Mus musculus: one gene and its partner. The protein of the gene in region 1 interacts with the protein of each later gene in a biochemical or structural test. Links are inferred from orthologs where the notes say so. Each region holds a gene or a part of one and is shown on either strand. Other genes may lie near its edges.

Region 1 (10,001 bases):
TCATGCCATAGGTGACAAGCAAAGCTCCTAACCTGTTTCCTAGACCCAGAAGCATTTTGGGAGGGGAAGACAGTGATTCTAGAAAAAACCCTGTGAATTCTCACTGGGACATTCTACTTCAGAAGTAGGCAGAGGGGTAAGAGAATAGCCTGGGTAAGGTCAAGAGAAATCCTTGATAGGGAGGCCCCAAATATCATAAAATGGATCGGTGGCTAAGAAGCACTGAACAGGAGCTCAGAGAACAGCAGACTCTGGGTCCCCAGTAAGGGCTGCCCTCAAATCCTGCACAGTTAACAAACACTGCGGACAAAGGCATTTAAAGCCATGCTTACATCTGAAGTCATATTTAGAGGGGATGTCAGACTTATCAGCCTGGATGATGACGTCAGACATCTGTCAGATCAAAAGGCATGGGGTGATCCCTGTGTGTAGGGATAAGATTCTTCGGATGAGCCCAGGAACAACAGAGGTGCAGCATCTCTCGGGAAATAGCTGGTGTGGTGTCAGGAATAGCCTGGCTAAATTTCTAGACTTCTGAGACAAAGGTTTCTCCAAGAATTCTGATAGAAAACAAATAATTTTCAAAGGAATAAACACAGGAGAACCTCTGAATTTTCCGCAGTAAATTTACAACAGAGGCTGTGTAAATGCTAGTTGATGTGGTAAGAGGTTGGATTTTTACAAAATCCAAGGGGTGCTACTGGGATATACACCTTTCTGGGATGGTTTCATCAAGAGAACTCTTTATGCCAAGGACCAAGGTTATCTTGGGCGGGAGATACATGTCTAGAACTCAGTGAGGAAAGACTTGTACATTGAAGGGAGTCATTCTGAGGTATTTATGTGAAAGGGTTAAACCTGGGTAAGATGGCTAATTGGTTAACCTTAACAGTTTCCTCTATCGCAGGGTTGCAACCTGTGATAGAAAGAAGGACCATAGATTTTTGAAAAACAGATTTCTCAGGCTCAAGAAGGGTGAGAGAACTGAAGTTAAGACAGGGGTCTAGGCTCAAAGTGGAGAGAGAGAGAGAGAGAGAGAGAGAGAGAGAGAGAGAGAGAGAAGACTCACATAATTTGGAGAAGGCCTCATTTCCCTGGTCAGGCTGAAGCACACAGATGCATAAGCTCTGATTCATCTGTATGCTGAAGAGCCTTGCCTGCAGATTCAGTGTCCCAATATATTCCAACGAGACATCCTTGGATCAACTCTAGATAGGCTGCATTCTTAAATTCCAAGTGTACAGTGGGATTGCCAACCATGAAAACACTCTGCTGTACCCTCGGATCTTTTTGTCGCTTCTGAGCCTTGAATCCCTGTCCCTATCATGACCTGTTCCTATCAGCAACAGGGTAGGAGAGGCTGCGGTACACTGAGATAAAGCATTTTTTCAGTACATACAAACCCAATGAGGTCATATCACAAAAGCACATGTCAAAAGATGATGGTGGACCTGAAGGAGGCAGTGATAACTCTGGGAACCGTGCAGGAAAGTCTCACTGTCTCCTAGAAACAGGTTACCTGCTTAACATAACCCAAGATCCTCTGCTTTTCTGCCTTAGGGTACTAAGCCAGGAGCTCCAGGTGACCTCTGCTCCAATCTCAAACCAAGATTTTTTTTAAGTTTCTCTTTAGAGGCTTATTTATCTTATTTTATGTGTATGAGTGTTTGGGCTGCATCTATGTCTATGTATCACATGCATGCCTGGTGCCCATGGAAAGCAGAAGAGGGGGTAGGGTTCCCTGGAACTGGAGTGACAGATGGTTGTGAGCTGCCAAGTGAGTGTTGGGACTAATCCCAGGTCCCCTGCAAGAACAGTAAGTATTCTTAACCCCTCAACTATCTCTCCATCCTCTGCTAAACTCTTCCTGGGGTCAAGGTTTCTGTCAGCTGTACTAGTTGAAGAAGCAAAAGCACAATACAAGAAGGGACATGCAATCCTAATGGGCTCTGGTGAATGCTGGCCCTGGATTCATTCCTGGAGCTGTTAAGGCACCATACTGATTATTTCCAAAGTTAGCAATAGAATAAAGCAAGAAAGAGGGCTGAATCGAATGTGTTCTGCTAGGCTTTCACTACCTCCTACACATGAAACCGACAGCTGGGTCTGGCCGGTGCTCAAGAGCCCAGATATTGTGGTGACTAGTACCAGAACACCTGGGAAGAAGCCTTCTAATGGAGTCAAAAGCAAAGAGAGTTTAGAGAACCTGCTGATGTTTCAGTGATCATGATCAATAGCTTAAGCTTTTTGTGGCAGTGAAGGCTTGGGATTACTGGGGAGTCCAAAACTCTTATTAGCTCCACATTCAGAAAGCCATGTGATATAGTCATGCTTACAGTTTCCAGGTAAGATGCTGAGAAGATATTTTTGGGGTGGATGCTTTGTGCAAAATGATTTTGTGTCAAAGCTCCATGTAATTGGATATGCAGCCAATCTGTGAAAATAATTAGTGAACTGTGGGGGGCATATTACAATTTAATTCTGAAAGGGCAGAGAACAACTAACTAACTTCTTACTAACATGCCTCTGCAGAATGATAGACCTCGGAAAGTGATGAAAATTCACATTTTTTTTTTTCTATTCCAGAAATGAGAGAAGAATGGGAAGCCAACTGCTCTCTGCTCTCATGGAGCCTGCAGGGGCATTGAGAACAAATCTTTAAAGGACAGATTTTAACCGAAAGACAGAGGGAGACACAGGAATGTGGGGTCTGTGGGTACCATTTACACTTTTTCATCATTTCAAGGGATCTTATGTTTCCTGAAAGGCAGCCAGCATCGAGTTAGGACAGGGATGAGGACACAGACTGCAATCACAGAGACCTGACCCTGCTTAGTTAAGGCTACACTTTGGCAAATTTCCTAATTGTGCTGAAATAGAATTCCATTTCATCGCTTAGAAAGAATAAATAAAGTAGGGTTGTATAGTATTATATCAAAAGTCCTCTATAAATGATAAAGATTTATCTGAATATAGAAACGGAAAAGGGGTCATGAAGGAGGGAAAGATATTGAAGTTTTGAAAGCCAACTGGACCATTACGTAGAATTTTGTTAATTTGGACACTGTTGTAATTACCTTGAACAACAATAAAAGTACCCTGCTTAGAGTAAGTCACTACCTTCACTGCAAAGTCTTTGACTCCAATCAGTATCCTTACATCTTAGAAGATTGAAAAAGGAACCACCATTGATAAACAGTTTTTCCAAAGCACACAGTCTCTTTCCTTTCCCACCTTATTGCAAGTGAATGCCCAGTGCCCTGAATTGCACCAGGCTACAAGTCACTTATTGCAAAGCTCTTCTGTGTGAAACTTCACATCTAGCCAGGCATGGTTATCAAGGGTATTCGTCAGAGCTGGGGGGGGGGGGGACAGGACTGTGAACTCAGAAAACCTTGGTGGCCATAGAAGATGTCTAGAGTTTCCCTGCAAGCTGTCATTCTGAGTTAGAGAAACACATCAAACTGGGCACATTTTAGTAACTCAAGAGGAGAAGCACTTTCTGTGGACAAACTGCCCTTGAAGAGACCAGTGTTGGGAATAACACGCTATGGGAGCCTGGCTCTGTGATCTTTCTCCACTTCTAGTAGAATTGGATGGCTTCTTGGCCTCAGTCAGAACCAGGTAGCACAGTCTAAGGGTGACAATGCCCTGCGCTGCCTAGACTGTACCTTATTTTCTTGCTCACCTTTGTACTAGGCAGAGAGAGCCTATGGGAAGATCTTCCAGAGACAATGATTATGCCTACGCCTGCTTAAATCAGACTCGTTTTTGTTTGTTTCTTTTTAAGGGAGAGTCTCATGTAGTCCAGGATGACTTCTAACTCGGTTCCAAGACTTTGAGCTTCTGATCCTCTTGCCTTCAACTCTCAAGTCCTGAATCACAGGCCTGTACCATCACGCATAGATTCAGACCAGTGGCTCTCAACTTGTGGATTGACCTTCCAAGGGCTCACCAAAGACCCTCAGAAAACACAGATATTTACACTACAATTCCTAATGGTAGTAAAAGTACAGTTATGGAGTAGCAATGAAAATAGTTTTAAGGTTGGGAGTGGGGTCACGAGAAAGTGAAGAACTGATTTCAAAGGCTGCAGCATTAGGAAGGTTGAGAACCACTGCTCTTGATGACACTTTGGAGATGCATCCGACTTACAGTGGTATCGTCTCTCGTAAGTATCATTCTCTTTCCATCTCACAATGGACAGCACTTGGGTAACATTTGCTAGGATATTAATCACCGCAAATATGGGAGAGCTTTTCTCATCAAGACACAGGGTGTCAAGTCTTTACCGAGACTTTCAGTATCAAATTCTACCACATGCCAAAACATTGCAATGACATCTTGGGAAGAAAACCGGGGGCTGGTTTTCTTGAAGGGCAACAAGGCACCCATTGTCTGCCTTTGTTTTCTAACTGTGTATTCCTTTGTAAACTGGAATAGTACAGATGTTTCTGTTTTGGGAAAGTAAACAAACAAACAATCAAGAAACCAACAAAACAAAACAAAACAAAACAAAAAAACCAAAAACAGCTAGAATACAAAGCATGGTCTCCTAAAATCCCTGCCACTGTCCTATTTGAATCTTGGGCTTAGGGGACATGATGAACAGTGTAGATATTTGAAGTGACTTAGAAGAGGAGTTTCAACTTCACAACATTGACATTTTGGCCTGGATAGTTCTGTGAAGGACAGGAGTAAGTGGCTCTATTTACAAAATATCATTAGCTTCATCCATTGTGACAATCAAACATGCCTCCAGAGAATGCACACATCCTTTGGCTATCAAATTTGATTCTTTCTAGAGTACTGACTTAGACTACTCTCTTCTCTCTGTCAACGGGCAGCATAACTTCTTCAAGTTACAGAAATGAAATACAACCAAGGGAATAAATGCAATGGTTATCCTTAAGCAAAACCAACTATCCGTTAAATAGGTATATTTCTTCCCTATTGTCTCCCTAAAATGTCAGTGCTCCCCACCCCAAGGTCCTTTCTTACAGAATGCTCAACCAGAACTTGGATTTGCTACTCTCTCAGACCTCCTACACAACGGAAAAAAAAATGCCAAAAGAAAATTGACCCTATACTCACATGAGCATCAGTTATGCAATCATTCCTTGCTCTAAAGTTTCCCCCAGGAGCTGAAACACTCAGTTGTGTGAGCAAACCACAGCTACCAGCAATGAGAAACAACTCACTGTTTGCAGAGTCAGCCTTTCGGAATCTGGTCAGGTCAACGTTGGGTGGTCTGTTGGGCTTGGGTGGAGGCGGGCCCAAGACGGACAGGGGTGGCAGGGCCTTCTGCTTCGGGGTTGCAGAATTCTTGTCTCCTTCTTTCTCCTGACTTTGGCCCCACGGTGTCCCCGCTGTCAGCTTGGAAGGGGCCTTAGGGAATCTGGCCGGCTCTTCTTGATTCAGTTTGTTCAGAAAGATGTTCTTTGCAAGGTCTGTTTTCCTATCTTCTTTTTTTTCTTCAAAGTTTTTGGAGAGACCCGGGCTCCCTCTGCTCGCAGCAGGTTTCAGAACCACTCCAGGAAAGGGTGAACTTGGTGCTCCATGGTCTTTATCCTCTGGGTCTTCCTTAGGTGGTTTGAAAGGGGCGCCCTTGGACTTGGCGCCCAACTGCACTGGGGATCCTTTCTGGACAGGCACGTTCTTAGAAGTGTTCTCTTCCTGGGAGTCCTCTGTGCTTAGGGATGGCTTCTGGCCAAAGGTGTGTCTGGGAAATCGGGGTTTGGAGTCAGTATCTTGTGCCGCTGGCATGAACTTGCTCTTAGCTCCAGCTACCTTTGAGAATCCTGGCTTCAGTTCGTTTTCTGGGACTGGGGGAGCGGGCCCTGGCTTCGGTCCTGGCGTCTTTAAGTCAGACTCTTGGTTCAAATTGTGAAGTTTATTCCCAGGTGGCCGTAAAACCACAGGTTTGGAATCTTCTTTGGTCAAGCTGGTGGGTTTGGGGCTTACAGGTTTCAGGAACCCCACTTTGACCTCAGGGTCTCTAGAAACTGAGTTTGGCTGTGTTCCAAATCTTGGGCTCCCTCCAGTAGGTTTTAAAAACGGGGGTTTAGGTTCCTTCTCAGGCTTCTCCTCGTAGGTAGGTTTCGCTGCCAAGGGTGGTTTTGTGGTCCCAAATTTAGGCATGCTGCTGGGTCCTGCGGGCGGGCTGGCATTTCCTTGGTTGTCAAATAAATTCTTTCTTGATTGTATTCCAGAAGGCGAGCTTTGTCCTGCAACTTTGAAGGGCCTGCTGCTGGTGGCGGCCTCCTCTGTCGGGTTACTCCCCGTGTTGAACTTCGCCATGAGGGATTTTACATCTGTTTTTCCATCCTACAAGCACAGGGAACAAAAACCAGCTGAGAGTCAGAAATCTCACTTGCAATTTAAAATACTGTACCTTCAAGGGTTTCCTGATCTGAGGCAAGAGTGCTGGGGTGCCGGCAAGCTGCTGATTGGTTGACCAGATATTGTAACATTTAAGTTCCTCTATGGCAAAACAAGTTGTGAATGTTTCTCGCGAAGGAAAGGCTAGGGCTGTGTTTAAACTTCTGTTGTTGGTCGTACAGGGACACAATCATTTATCTTAAAAAACGTTTCTCTTCTCTTTCCTGGTCTGCCTCGCTATCTTGTTGGAGATATCTGATTCTGTATTTGTTTACATTTTTTGCTTCACTGAAAAACATACAGCGGTGGCTACCAAATGGATTTTCCCACTTTTTACAACTGAGACTCATGTGGAAACTGGACTTCAAAACGAAAGTAGGCACTGTAAACTCAGGCTACATGCTTTTTTTTTTAACCCAGCAAAGCAATGCTTAGCATCAGTGTGCTGGCCCGTGCTTCCCTGTTCCTGTTGCGTTTAAAGTGCGTTTGCTGTCGGGGAGGTGTTACAGAACAGCCCAGCCCTTCTAAAACGAAAGAAGGTTTCCTTATTATTTGCAAATCCAGAGTGCTGTTGTGTGGCTGTATGCAGACTAACGGGACATGAGCTAAACCCACGGGACAGCATGGGCTGAACAACAGGCCAGCAGAAGGAATTGCCTCGTTTCCAGATCTTTCTCTTCAATAATGACTTTTACCAGTCCTCTGAGAGGTCCTGCCTCACCTGCCTTCCTCATAAGAATTAGGAAATTATGCAGTAAAGGTATCAGATAGTCACCCTTTTTTTTTTTTTTGTTGTTGTTAATATAGTCCCGTTTAACCTGGGAGAATTAATGGTGTCTTTACCCTTTCTTTCAAAAACAAGGAGTTTGAGCTGGAGATGAGGCTCAGCTGAGAGACAGAGAGAGAGAGAGGGAGAGAGAGAGAGAGAGAGAGAGAGAGAGAGAGAGAGAGAGAGAGAGAGAGAGAGAGAAAACCTACTTAGCATCTAACATCACTAAACCCTGTCTCATGTGCTCAGCATTCAATAAATCAGGTTGGTGGCGTACTCTGTAATGCAGGAGGTAGAGACAGGAAGATCAGAAGTTTATGAAGGTTAAGGTCATTCTTGGCTACACAGCAGGTTTGAGACAAGCCTAGGCTATGTGAGATCATGCCCGCCCCCCACACTCCCCCCCCCCAAAAGGATAAAAAAACAGGAAAAACTTCCAGGGCTCTAAAGCTTGATGAGAAATATGAAATGGTAGACAGAAGATATAGCTGGGTGATGGAGCAGGAGCTCAGCATGGGTAAGGTCCTGGGTTTGCTCCTTAGTGTACACACACACACACACACACACACACACACACACACGCACACACACACGTGCACGTAAGCGTGTGCACACACACACATGAGTACACGCATACACCCCCCCCCCCAAAGTTTTCTTTCTGTTTAGAAGGAAGTTTGTTTCTGAGAAAGAATTTCTGATTATCCCTTCCCCTCTACTAGTATTGTTCATATTCTTTATGTATAGCTTCTTTTAGGTTTATAAAACAAGGTGAAATAGCAAAGTGATTAAGAATGTCAGCTCGGGAGCCAGGTAGCAGGGGATATTAATGCGTTTTCTTATCTTCTCACTGCAAACAACGTCTAGGCGCTGCTCTTAGGCAGGCACGTGTATAAAGCAGTAGAGGACATTGGCACATCCGAGGGCTTCCTGTTTTTGTATAAAGAAGACACTTAGTGATCGTCTGCTCTCCCTCCTCATTGCACTGCTGGGGAACAAGGTCATTCATTCCCCGCTGTGGCAGCTTCAAGTCTAGCACATCCCAGGGGGAAAACCTTGAAATGTCTCTGGCCACGGTCAAGCACTGTGCCACATTTAGTTCCAAAAATATAGAAGTTGTACATTAAGGATGGAAGCTTTAGTCTTGGCTGCTAATCCAGATCCAGGAGAGCCTGCAAGTGTCGGAGCTAAAGGCACGGGCCTTGGAGTTATTGACTGAGGCTCAAGCCTTGACTTTGCCGTGTAGCATAGCATCTAGCAAGTGATCGACTTTTCCCAGTCTGCTTCCTTCATCTCTGAGATCAGAGCTGGAATTCCATTTCTCACTGGAGTTTTGTTTGTTTTGATAAAGACTAATAAACAGGTCAATACAAGTAGTTAGGTGTTTAGCTAAAGCACTTGCTTAGCAAGCACAAGGCCTTGGCTTTGGTCCTCAGCTTCAGACACACAATAGCAAACAAAAAGATCAAGGGTCGAATGTCACACATATGCAGTGATTTTTTTCTGCCATAGTAATGATTTCTAATTCATTCATAATATATCATTGTCTTTTCCAGACAGATCAAAAACTTGAAATTACTTACTGTCCCTGTGAACAAACACACTCGCAAATGACACATAGATAATGATGCTTAAGTTTGATTCACCCGTACTCTTGAGAGTTTTCACTGGGAAGGAAGGAGCAACAAGTTCCTTTGTGAGGAACACACACACACACACACACACACACACATGCATACACATAGATACACATAGATACACACACACATGTGTGCATATACACACACACAAATACCTTGCACACAGATCTACCTTTCCACCTTCTGTTTCCACTTAAAAATTGGGAGCCCCCCACCCCCAAAGCCCAAAATCAAATCAAACCAAAACTCAAACAACCTGGAAGCCCGTGCTTCTGGACTTTGCTTTCTTCTGGCAACCTTGTGGGTTGTAGGATTCCTGTAAAGCTTGGGTTGTTAAATATTCCCCATGTCAGCTCTGCGTTCTCTCTTTGCATAGAGAGGTGTTTATTATTTCAGGACCTTCCTTATCCCCACTACCCCAAATGTCACTATATCTCCCTGGCTGCCTGGAACTGGCAGCGTATACCAGCCTGGCTTTGAACTCACAGTGCTTATCCCACCCTGCCAAGAGTGCTGGGATCCCGAGGATGTCCCGCTTCTCTTGGCATTTAAGCGCTTAGCCCTGTAAAGGTGAGCTGAGCTCTGTCCTACCTGCTCAAGTGCTGGGTATCAGATGGAGAGCTTGGAGTCGGGAGCTCTCCCAGGGAGCTACGTTCCGGCCTGTTTATTCCAAGAGGCATTTCATGGTCTGGAAGACCTCAGAGCCTTATGTTTTAGGTAAATCAACATTTCATACCAAGTTACCCAAATTTCTCTTTGTAAGTCATGTGAAGGGATTTTTTTTTGATTATTTTTAGTTGATACATGCCTCTATTTTACTATGACCAAATACTTGACAAGGGGTGACTTGAGGGTGAAGAACTTATTTTGGCTCGTGATTTGAGGGTACAACTCTTTCTACAGTAGTGTACTGTACTTTTAAATAGTGTGCTCTCTAGCATTCCCATGCCCCTAGATATGCATCTACGGAGCTGAGTTCTACCCTCTTCTGTATCACATCATTGATAAATATTTGAGGGGATAAAAGGCTATTACCAGAGATGGATTTTGAAATTCCCTGTTGTTTTAAGTCATTCTCTTCTTTTCGGCTTAGGTATTGAATCAGTGGGATTCTGACGGTGAGTCGCGTGCTCTACTTCCAGGCCACATTCTTAACACTTGCCAACATTTTAAAATACAAAAGAAATAAAAGATTCATGAATGATGGGTAG
Region 2 (9,913 bases), on another chromosome or scaffold:
GATGACTGCAGAACTCCCAGTGGTCTGGTAACTCCCCACGCACGCACTTGTAACAAGGAATCAGGAATTGCTGCTTTTGTTTCTACCAAAGACCATCATGACACTTTGCAGAAGCTACACAACTAGCCAGTCTGGTTTCTTTTATGGACCAGTAATGTATGACTTAAAGGGACAGTTACGAGATTTTACTTAAATGTACAGAATTCCCGTAGCCTGAATTCTAGTGTTTCCAGTGTGTGCTGGTAGACACTGCTTTGATTTGTCTGGAGTGGTTTGCTAAGCGTGATGAGTTGGGAAGGCTACATGGGTGCTCACTCATTATACATGTAAGTCACTGCATCTGTCCAGCACCATCAGCTAGGTGGCTGGGGTGGGGCCCTGGAAGCCTCTTCCTGCCTTTGGTTTGATTTCTTCTCTTCCACAACCCCTGAGTTCTCCTATCCACTCTTTTCTCATAGGCTCCCATCCTGGATGGGTGTCCTCTACCTCTAAGGCATTAGTTGTACACACTGTTCTGAGTGGTAAGCCTACAGCAGAAAATAAGCACGGTCACTTTAGTTTAAAAATAAATAAAAGTTAGTGCCATGCATGGTGGTTGTCCATGCCTTTGATCTCAGCACTCAAGAGGCAAAGGCTGGGGCATCTCTGTGAGTTCAAGGCCAGCCTAGTCTACAGAGAGAATTCCAGGACAGATAGGGCTATACAAAGAAATCCTGTCTCTGGAAAACAAAAACAAAACAAAACAAAACAAAAAACAACAACAAACAAAAACAGAGAGAGAGAACTATTGCTGAAGACCTAAGAGGAAATGAAACCGAGCTACTGTCTTATTCCTAGAGTTATTTTTAAATCAATCGAGAGATTATTGAGCCAGGTGAGGTTCACACACCTTTAATCCCAGCCCCTGGGAGGCAGAGACAAAGGCAGGTGGATCTCTGTGAGCTGGAGGCCAGACTGGTCTACATGCTGAGTTCAAGGCCAGCCAGGGCTACACAGTGAGACACTGTCTCAATAAAATATTTCCTAATGCTCACTTTGATATTTTCTTATAGAAACAATGTTATATCACCAGCAATCTCAAAAGAAATCCATGAAACCCATGGAAATGTAACAATTGTTGACAAGGGCAACTGTGTACTCTATCTTTTCTGCTTTCAATTACGAAAATTATCACCTTTTTCCGATCTTTATTTTTTATTAAATTATTTTATTTATTCACATTCCAAATGTTGCCCCCTTCCCAGTCCCCCCTCCCAGAGTGAAGACCTGATCCTTTTTCCCTTCTAAGAGGGTGCTCTCCTACCCACCCATCCCCATCTCACCCCCCCCCCCCAGCATCCTTGATCCCTGGAGCATCAAGTTATCACGTTTTTAGTCAGAAAAAAAATAACATTAAAGCTCACACTTTACCACTTGGGATTCAGGAGAGCAGTAACTCACCTGTCAGCAAGACCACCAATATCAAAAGTTAGCCAAAAAGAGGCAGAGCAGCCAAACACACACCACAAAACCATGCCTCAGAGCTTAGGTATTTGTTTATCAAGACAGCCGCTTTGGACTGTCAAGATGGCTCAAAGGGTAAAGGTGCTTGCAACCGGGGCTTAGGATGTAAGTTCAATTGCTGGAACCCATCCACATGGTAGACAGAAAAAAGCCTCTCAACACACACACACACACACACACACACACACACACACACACCACATACACACACACACACACCACACACACACACACACACACACCACATATACACACACACACACACACACCACATATACACACACACACACACACACACACACACACACACCGAGAGAGTACTGGGAACTGAACCAAGGTCTCTGACTCTGGAATGCCAGCTAAGCACTTTACCAGTGAACTATATCTCCATCCCAAAGATGCCCCTTATGCCTACTTTTACACATAGCTCCAAAATACTCAATTATCTAATGTTCCAGAGACGTCAACGACACAGATCCAACCAACAGAATAGCGAAGGGCCTCAGCTTCACTACGAGGGTAAGAAATGGCAGAATATCGAGTGCAAAGCAGACTGGAATCTGGCTCAGAGAGAGAGAGAGAAATCTCCGACTAGCATGCATGAGGCCTTGGGTTCAGTCCCCAGCTCCATATGAACGAATAAATCAGACACAGGCAATCACAAGGCAACCAAGAATATCCCAGTCAGAAACAGTTTTGAACTGCAGACATTCACCCAAACAATACTGAGTTTAGAAGTATTTAAATGTTACTCATTCCAAGACCAGTGTAGCTGGTTGACAAGATGGAGGAAAGTTCCTAATTCCTGTTTTTAAAGAATTGATCAAAGATGTTTACGAGTTAGACGATTTAAAAGAACCTTTGCTATCTAGAGAGACTGAGAGAAGTTTTATCCTTTCATCTAGATCTACCACTCTGGAGAACTATCTAGAAGGAAATGGCTAATGACTGCTGAGGGTTTTTTTGTTGTTGTTTGTTGTTGAGATTCTCTGTGTAGCCCTCCTGTCCTGGAATTCAGGCTGGCCTCGAACTCACAGAGAGTTACCTGCCTCTGCTTCTCCAGTTAAAGGTATGCATCACCACCAAGGGCGACTGCTGAAGTTTAAAAGTAAGCAACCATTAGGATATGAGGGCCAGTGCTAGGGAGCCAGGCAGTGATGTTTGGGCTTCAGTCCATCTTCTGAGCCCCATGGCGGCACTGGGTAGGCGGCTGGGTCTATCAGCGATCAGAGTGAAGTCAGCAGGTTTCCTATCTATCTGCTGCACCTCCTTCTCTGGTTCTTACTTAAAAAGAGTGAGAGACAGAGGCAGAGACACACACATGGGGTGGGGGTGGGGGTGGGGTGGCACTAGAAAGACTAGGAAGAAGAGACTATGTTTATATCTGTGCAACAAAGATTACAAGCTGCCAACCTATTGTTCTTGTTTTCAGCATCGTTATCACTAAACAAAAGCAAAAACAAAAACAAAAACAAAAGATAACTGCTACATCTGAAGCCTGACTACTTAAAAACAGTCCTGAATATTTCCTGTTCTTTCAATGAAGCGGAAGATGCCCTGCATTCCTTATCTACACCGTGCCTTATTCACTGATACGGGGCCACTTTCTGTCTCTGTGTGGGAGCTCAGTAGAGCCGATGGAAAAGGCTGTTTCCTGGGATACTAGAAGCTTCTCTGAGCTTTGTCATTTGCCAGAAAAACAACAGAGAAGGTGGGTTTTTTTTTTTGTTTGTTTGTTTGTTTTGTTTTAATGTACACTTTCCACACAACTTCCCATGGCTAAACAGGAAAAACAATCACACCTGAAGTTACTGGCCCTTTAACTTCTGGGCTTCTGTTTGTCTTTTTTTTTTTTTTTTAAACCTATCTAACCACTCTTTCTTGATTAAAGAAGTAGTACATGGCTTTTGTCACAATTCAACCAACTGGAGATATATGTATTAAAAATCATTAACCCCTGTGAGTCTCTCTGTCCTTAAAAAGAAACTGCTAAGAGACAGGACACTGTCCTGAGGCTTACACAAACCTATATAATATATGGAACTTTTTTTTTTTTTTTTGGCTTTTTGGTTTCAAATAGAAAAAGGATCATTATATGTGCTGTTGTTTATTACATCTTTTTAGTCTTAAAAACACTCCATGGACATACTGCAAGCCAAGATAGACAGACGTCAGACAGACACACAGATCTCCAAGTTCTTTTGATGCAAACTAAGATGGATGTCCCATGATCCAATTGACCATCACCTACTTTTCCCACCTCATTGACATCTGCAATATATAAACATATATTTAATTTCTATATCACATTCCTAGAAGTGGGACTTCCACGTCAAATGAGACATCTTCAAATGTTTAAAATTTTATACTTAAAATTAATTCCAGACCTTCATTATGCAAAAATCTCGGTATAAACCTTGCACAGTGTCTTGCATATTTTATTTTTTTAAAAGCGAACACATTATATCAAAAAAATGTCCCTGTCATTTTATGCTCCTATTGTTACAAATAGATAAATGTTTAAGTTATGGCTGTGATGGCCGGCATTAAATCACTGTGCAAATGCGTCTGACTTGGTTTATGAAAGCAGTAACTCACTGGGGAAACTCCACCCCCGTGCTGTGTGGCAGCCACAGTCACAGCTCATATCCTGTGACTCCCTCCCACTGAGTGACTATATAGAGATCAAGGACCTACAGATTTCTTAACTGCTAACGGTGAACCTTAAGAAGTGTGTGGTGGGAGGAGGCGTATAACCAGACCCAGACAACAAATTGACAGCCATTTTAGATGTCTAATATTCACAAGTTGTAACACAGAGAATCATTTGACTGTTTTACGATAGAGACCGCATTCCATTAAAAACAAAAACCTATAGCCAATATGTTATTATCATCACATGAATCTTTCAAAAACATATTTTTAACCACTTTTCAATAGAATCATTGGTTATATCCCACTTTATATTTTTCCCTCCACTTCAGAATCAAGAGCAGAATTACACGTTTAAAGGGAGGGATGGCTTTAAAGAAACAGTTAACCAGTGAAGCACCTCACAGTGGAACCTCAGACTCCTCCCTATCTTCTAAAGACCCGCGCACTATCAGAGATTGTTAAGACACAGCAAGTTTGATACAGAAGTATGTGACACGCAATTAATCTCCATTCATACCCGGCTCTGCTTGTCAGCAAACAAAGGTTCTGCTTTAGAAGGAGATCTGAAGACTTCAATTAAAAACAGTCAGCTAACAAGAAAACGATCTGAGCTAAAGGAAGGCGGCAGGTGCAAAAATGAGTTGTTTACCAAAGTGTCAGTTTTGAACAATAAAGAACTGCACATCAAAAATGTCGGAGGAGGGGACTGTGTTGCTAGCCTCTGAAAATAAGAGGGAATTTTTCTATTGATGCCTGTGCACCAAACTGAAGTGACATTTAGCAAGCTTGTAAAGTGGGTTTCTTCTCATAAAATGACTGACACCAATAAAAAGAGACACTCGGTCTTTAAATACAAGGGTAGAATTCAACTTGTGGCTGCAATTCCTTCTCTAAAAACCAAAGACAATTGTACAACTTCCTCTATGTACCTAATATTGAACCAGCACTGGCTAAATCTCGTTAGATGCCTGGTGATTTCTTCTATCTTCCAAATAACTTTATTTCTACAGTTTCTTGGTTTACAAGCTAAGTGGATTTTTAGATAATTTAGAGAACATAGCTCAGTAGTGGAATGTCTAATGACCCTGTGTAAGGTTCTAGATTCAATCCCCTAAGTACAAGAGAGGGTGGTGGTGACTAAAGGTGCTTGCCACCAAGCCTGAAGACATGAGTTCTATCCCCATCACCAGAAGATGCAAGATGAATGCCAACTCCCAACAGTTGCCACCCGAACTCCACAAACAGGCTGTGGCACATGCACACCCACACAATACACTCCAAAAATAGATAAAAACCTTTTTCTAAAATAGATTTTTGAAACATCGCCTCAAAAGAAACACATAGCCGCCAACTCTTACAGAGACGCTATCCAGAATAGAAACAGGGCTACAGACAGAATCCAAAAGCACTGGCCAAATCCTTGATTAGGAGGCATTTATACCCAAGATAACAAGGTAATGGAGATATAAAACCAATTAAATTGAGAGAAACTGGAAAGAATGCAGCTTGCCAAAATCATGACCTGCCCAAAGCAGGCCATCTGTTAACGATGTGTCAGATGTGTCGCCTGGATGCCGAAAGGCTTAATTCTGAGCGGTTTCCTCTTGAGACCCTTATGCAACTGCAGATTCCAGGTTTCTGTCCTCCCAGGAAGGGAAGGGCAGTCATAGGAAAATGAGTAAAACTGATTTTCACCATGGGAGCCAAGCACAAGATACCGTCCATCAGGGAAGTCTCTTCGGAGTGTATGTTGAGTGTCGGAAAGTGTGACCTTAACTGTAAAGGACAGTTTTAAAGGTGAAACCATCACAACAGGACACTTAGGGAAGGGAAGGACACCATACTCTGAGGTTTATGACACCCCTAGAAGTCTTCAGGTTAGGAAATGACTCTCACACTTATAAGACGTCCCCTAACCACCAGGCTTGGCCCAAAGACCATAAATCTCCAGAGCCCTACTGTGTGCCTAGGAGATGTCTACCCAGAAAGGTGTGGGTCTTCCACAAGGTGAGGAGTCAGGACTGGGAAGGATGAGACCTAATCACTGCACACCTCAGGGATTTCCCGGGGTGACAGGTTCAAGACCAAGCAAGGTGTCAAGGGAGGCCATGAACTGACCCGTAAGACCTTAGAGACCTGGAAGTGTTGATGCATCTGGAAGTGATACAGATGCCTAGAAGGAACAGAAAATATGTAACTCAAGGGAGAGGTGGGGACCTTGAGGATGAGAGAGAGGCTAGGGCTTTGGGGACAATTGGGGGATTAAGGACTCTGGAAGCCTGGAACTTATAGTAGGTAAGTGACCAGGCTAAAGAACTAGTACCCTAGTGTCTCCTTTCTTGCCTTCAGCCCAGCACTGAGAGGCCCTCCCGGACGGGATGGGTCAGGACAGAGGTCTGGCACTGAACCAGGAGTTAGTTACCTTCCAGGAGCCAACAGATCTCCTCCGGGAGGGCGACAGCCTGCATTTGGCGAAGCGAGTGGGCGGCCGCAGCAGAAGGCGGGATAAGGGACGTGTGCCTGCTCGGACGGCGGGCGCAGCGAGCTGCACCCCAGGCACCTGTACCTCGGCTGTCGCCTGGGGGGGGGGGGGAGGCGCTGGGCGGGGCCGCCGGTCGCGCGCTCAGGAAGCGGCGCGCGCAGCCGGCGGCGGGAGCCCGGGACCCCGGGCGCAGGTGCACTGGTGCCACTGAGGTGGCACGCAAAGTCAATGGCGTGGCCCTTTGAGCCCCTCACCAAAAAATTGCCTAGATTCCCAAGAGCCTTGGAGGCTAGGTTTTGGCGGAAACATCTAAACACTGAGCAGTTTGACCTTGGGGCTGTAGGTTTAAAAGGCCATGGCTGTTCCTGGACTGGGGTGCAGAGGCAGAATCCAAGAAAGAGCTTGGTCCTTGCCAAAGATATAGTGCCTCAGTTCTGATCCAGCGCACTGTCGGGGAAAGCCCTGCTGGTTAGAAATTAAAATCTGGAGTCCCAGCGACAATGCCGATCGCCAACATTTGAAAGACTCAGCATCAGAGGCAATACCCATGGAGAGACACGGAGGGAATGTCCTTCCCTCTGGAGGTGAAAGGCTGAGAGAAGGTGGGAAACAGCTCTTTCTCGGAACAGAGGAAGGAAGAAAGTGATCAACGAGATCACAGGGCTGTGCCCTTCCCCGCTCAAAGTACAGCCAGTCAGTGATCAAGTTTGGGTGGTAGTAGGTACCAAAGATGTTGCTACAGCACGAACTTGGGCAGTGGTACGTGGAACCCTTTGTTATTTTTGTGGACCGCTTGTGAGTGAACAAGTACTCAAAGGTTGTTTATTTGATTGGTATTTTATAGTACAACAGGCCTTGAAGAAAGTAGAGCAGCATGGACGGTATACGAAAGAGCAAGAGGAGGACTGGCGCATGCCTGTTGGTATTAAATACCAGACTCCGGGGTTTTACAAGGGTGGGGAGACTTTGCAGGTAGAAAATTATCTGTAATTATGTGACCCCTGCATATCTCTCTCTCTCTCTCTCTCCCTCTCTCCCTCTCTCCCTCTCTCATTCTATTCTATCCCCATAATAGGTAAGAAGGATTGGGAGTGGTCCTGGAACACATGAAGGGAGGAAGGTAAGCGATTTGTTAATCTGCCTGGGGGTGGAGATAATATTGATCTCAATGTAGAAGGCAGAGCAAAGACAAGAAACCGTTCAGAAGGGCACAGGGCAGGTGTATATGTCTCCTGGAATAAGTGTGTGCACACACCCCAGGAAGATGCAGTCTCAAGTTTAGGAACCCTCACTTTTAAGGACTTTGGTGGCCTTTAGCATGTCCTGACGCCTGAGAAGGAGTGGTCTTGGTTTCAGGGCCTCACAACCCACCTATAAGTTGCAATAAATTGAACTGAAGGGATAGAACCCGGTCGGGGTCACCAGAGAACCCAAATCCATGGTGTTGCTTCTTACTGGGTGAAGCTATAGTGACAGGCTTGGGCTGCCTCTTCCAGGCTCCAGAGGGGGTGTAGGCTGCCTCCTACCTTGCTGTCTCCCAGATAAAACTGAAGTTGCTCTAAAATCACTTGGGGTGCGTGCATGTTTAAACATGGAGGCTATGTGGCTCACACACATGCTTCTTTTTGTAAACATAAAACTGTTCTTCAAAAGGGGGGCGGTAGGCTTCCCTCTCTAGTGCACAAACTTCCTCCATTTTTCTTCCAGCAATGGGAAAAGAAGGACAGCCCTTCCCTCTTTCTTTAGTAAAAGGCAGGTTTCTAGGATCTGAAGAGAACCCAGAGTGCCCCGTCCCCTTATTTAAGGACATTGGTCAGCATGGTCACATAGGGTAGGTGCTCAGGAGTTGTCTGACAAAGGACAGAACCCCAGGCTTCCTGCCACCTAGGGAGAAGCAAAACCGCACAAGGTAGATATTCTCCTTGCATCTCTTCCCCTGTGGATGACTGGGTTTGGGAGCGATGGAGGTAGAGGGAGGTGTAAGTCAGGTGGTGTGTGCTGGTGACTGGCAGTTTCCAATACGCTATTGTCATGTTGCATCAAGGCTCCTCATTGCAGACAGAAGCCTGCCTCCACACATGAGCGCTGCCCCTCCTTAATCATCTGAGGGCCCTGGTTCAGCAGGCAGCCTCACTCCTAATGACATTCTGTTAAATGGACAAATTCCTTTGAAGCCCTGTCCTCCTTTGAAATCCAATTTCGCAGGAAGCCAAATCTGATTGGGGGTAGCCATGGAAACGACATGAAGGAGTCTTGCAGGAGGTGGAGAGAGGCAAAGAAAAAAAAACACCCGAGATAGTCAAGAGTCCTTTACTGCTCTGTCGGAAATATCAAAGAGATCTGGAGAGGTTGGCAGCAGGCGAGTCCCTGCCCAGGTCCTGTTCTGTGTGGCTAGGTACCATGTGGCTGACATGGAAGAAAGCAGCCAGCTGTCTCCACACACAGGCAGCGGTCCAGATCTGTCTGCCTTCCCCCTTCTCCCCTCCCCCACCCCAATTCCAATGCCATCCCCTTCTGGCCATCACCCCTTAAAGGCAAACAACAAAAGAATGACAAGGTGAAAATACAAGGCCCCCACAGATAAGGGGTCCTAGGGAGCAGAGGCCACGAAATTAATCTAAAATTCCTTGTATAATTAGATAAGATAAGGGTATCTAGAGAGAGGCAGGACAGCCAGAAATGGAGTCCAGCCACACAGCATGCAGAATACGCATGCCCTGTCCTCTGGGACTCATCACATACTGTCAGCAGACATAGGATGCAGAGAATGGAACCCATGTTGGCCTCTGGGCTACTTGGAGATGCTGTCTGCATGTTCTCTTGCCAGGTGGGCGCTAAGTATGCATCCAGAGGGTGTCCAAAGGGCTCAATCAGGAAGAAACAAGAACATCTGGCATCTAGACATCAAGGGGTCGGGAACAACTGCAAGCAAAGCCGGAGCTGGCTGGCACTGCCCCACACTGGGCCTGGTGGGTCTGGGGAGGAGACTGCAGGGGGCAGGTCCTGAGGCTTTATCCTCAGCCTGTTATTGATCCCCGAACACTGGGTCACGACACATGGCAGAGCTGACGTCTGCCCCGTGGATGTGCTGCAGCCGCATCTCAGCCTTTCCATCCCAGCCCCATCAACCAGGTTTATTGACTCTTTTATTGACAATGCTGGGTCTTAATGAGGACAAGAGTTGCACACTTCATTAAGGGATATGGAAGGAGAGATGATACGCAAAGTCGGTGCCAAAACCCGGCCTCACTATACACTTTTCAAGGCCCCAGA

Evidence for each region.
Region 2: the proteins of Fyb (region 1) and Skap1 form a complex in vitro, tested with the Homo sapiens proteins (2 studies listed by BioGRID and IntAct, with this or other methods). The link is inferred for Mus musculus from reciprocal best matches to the Homo sapiens genes FYB1 and SKAP1.

Annotation. Positions count from the first base shown.
Region 1 is NC_000081.6:6,576,247-6,586,247, reverse strand, and holds the start of Fyb (FYN-binding protein 1), read right to left. Parts: upstream 6,402-10,001; 5' UTR 6,328-6,401; coding exon of another isoform or gene 6,301-6,327; coding exon 5,202-6,300; intron 5,196-5,201; exon of another isoform or gene 5,095-5,195; intron 1-5,094. UniProt on the Homo sapiens protein: Acts as an adapter protein of the FYN and LCP2 signaling cascades in T-cells. May play a role in linking T-cell signaling to remodeling of the actin cytoskeleton. Modulates the expression of IL2. Involved in platelet activation.
Region 2 is NC_000077.6:96,461,418-96,471,330, reverse strand, and holds the start of Skap1 (src kinase-associated phosphoprotein 1), read right to left. Parts: upstream 6,741-9,913; 5' UTR 6,627-6,740; coding exon 6,581-6,626; intron 1-6,580. UniProt on the Homo sapiens protein: Positively regulates T-cell receptor signaling by enhancing the MAP kinase pathway. Required for optimal conjugation between T-cells and antigen-presenting cells by promoting the clustering of integrin ITGAL on the surface of T-cells.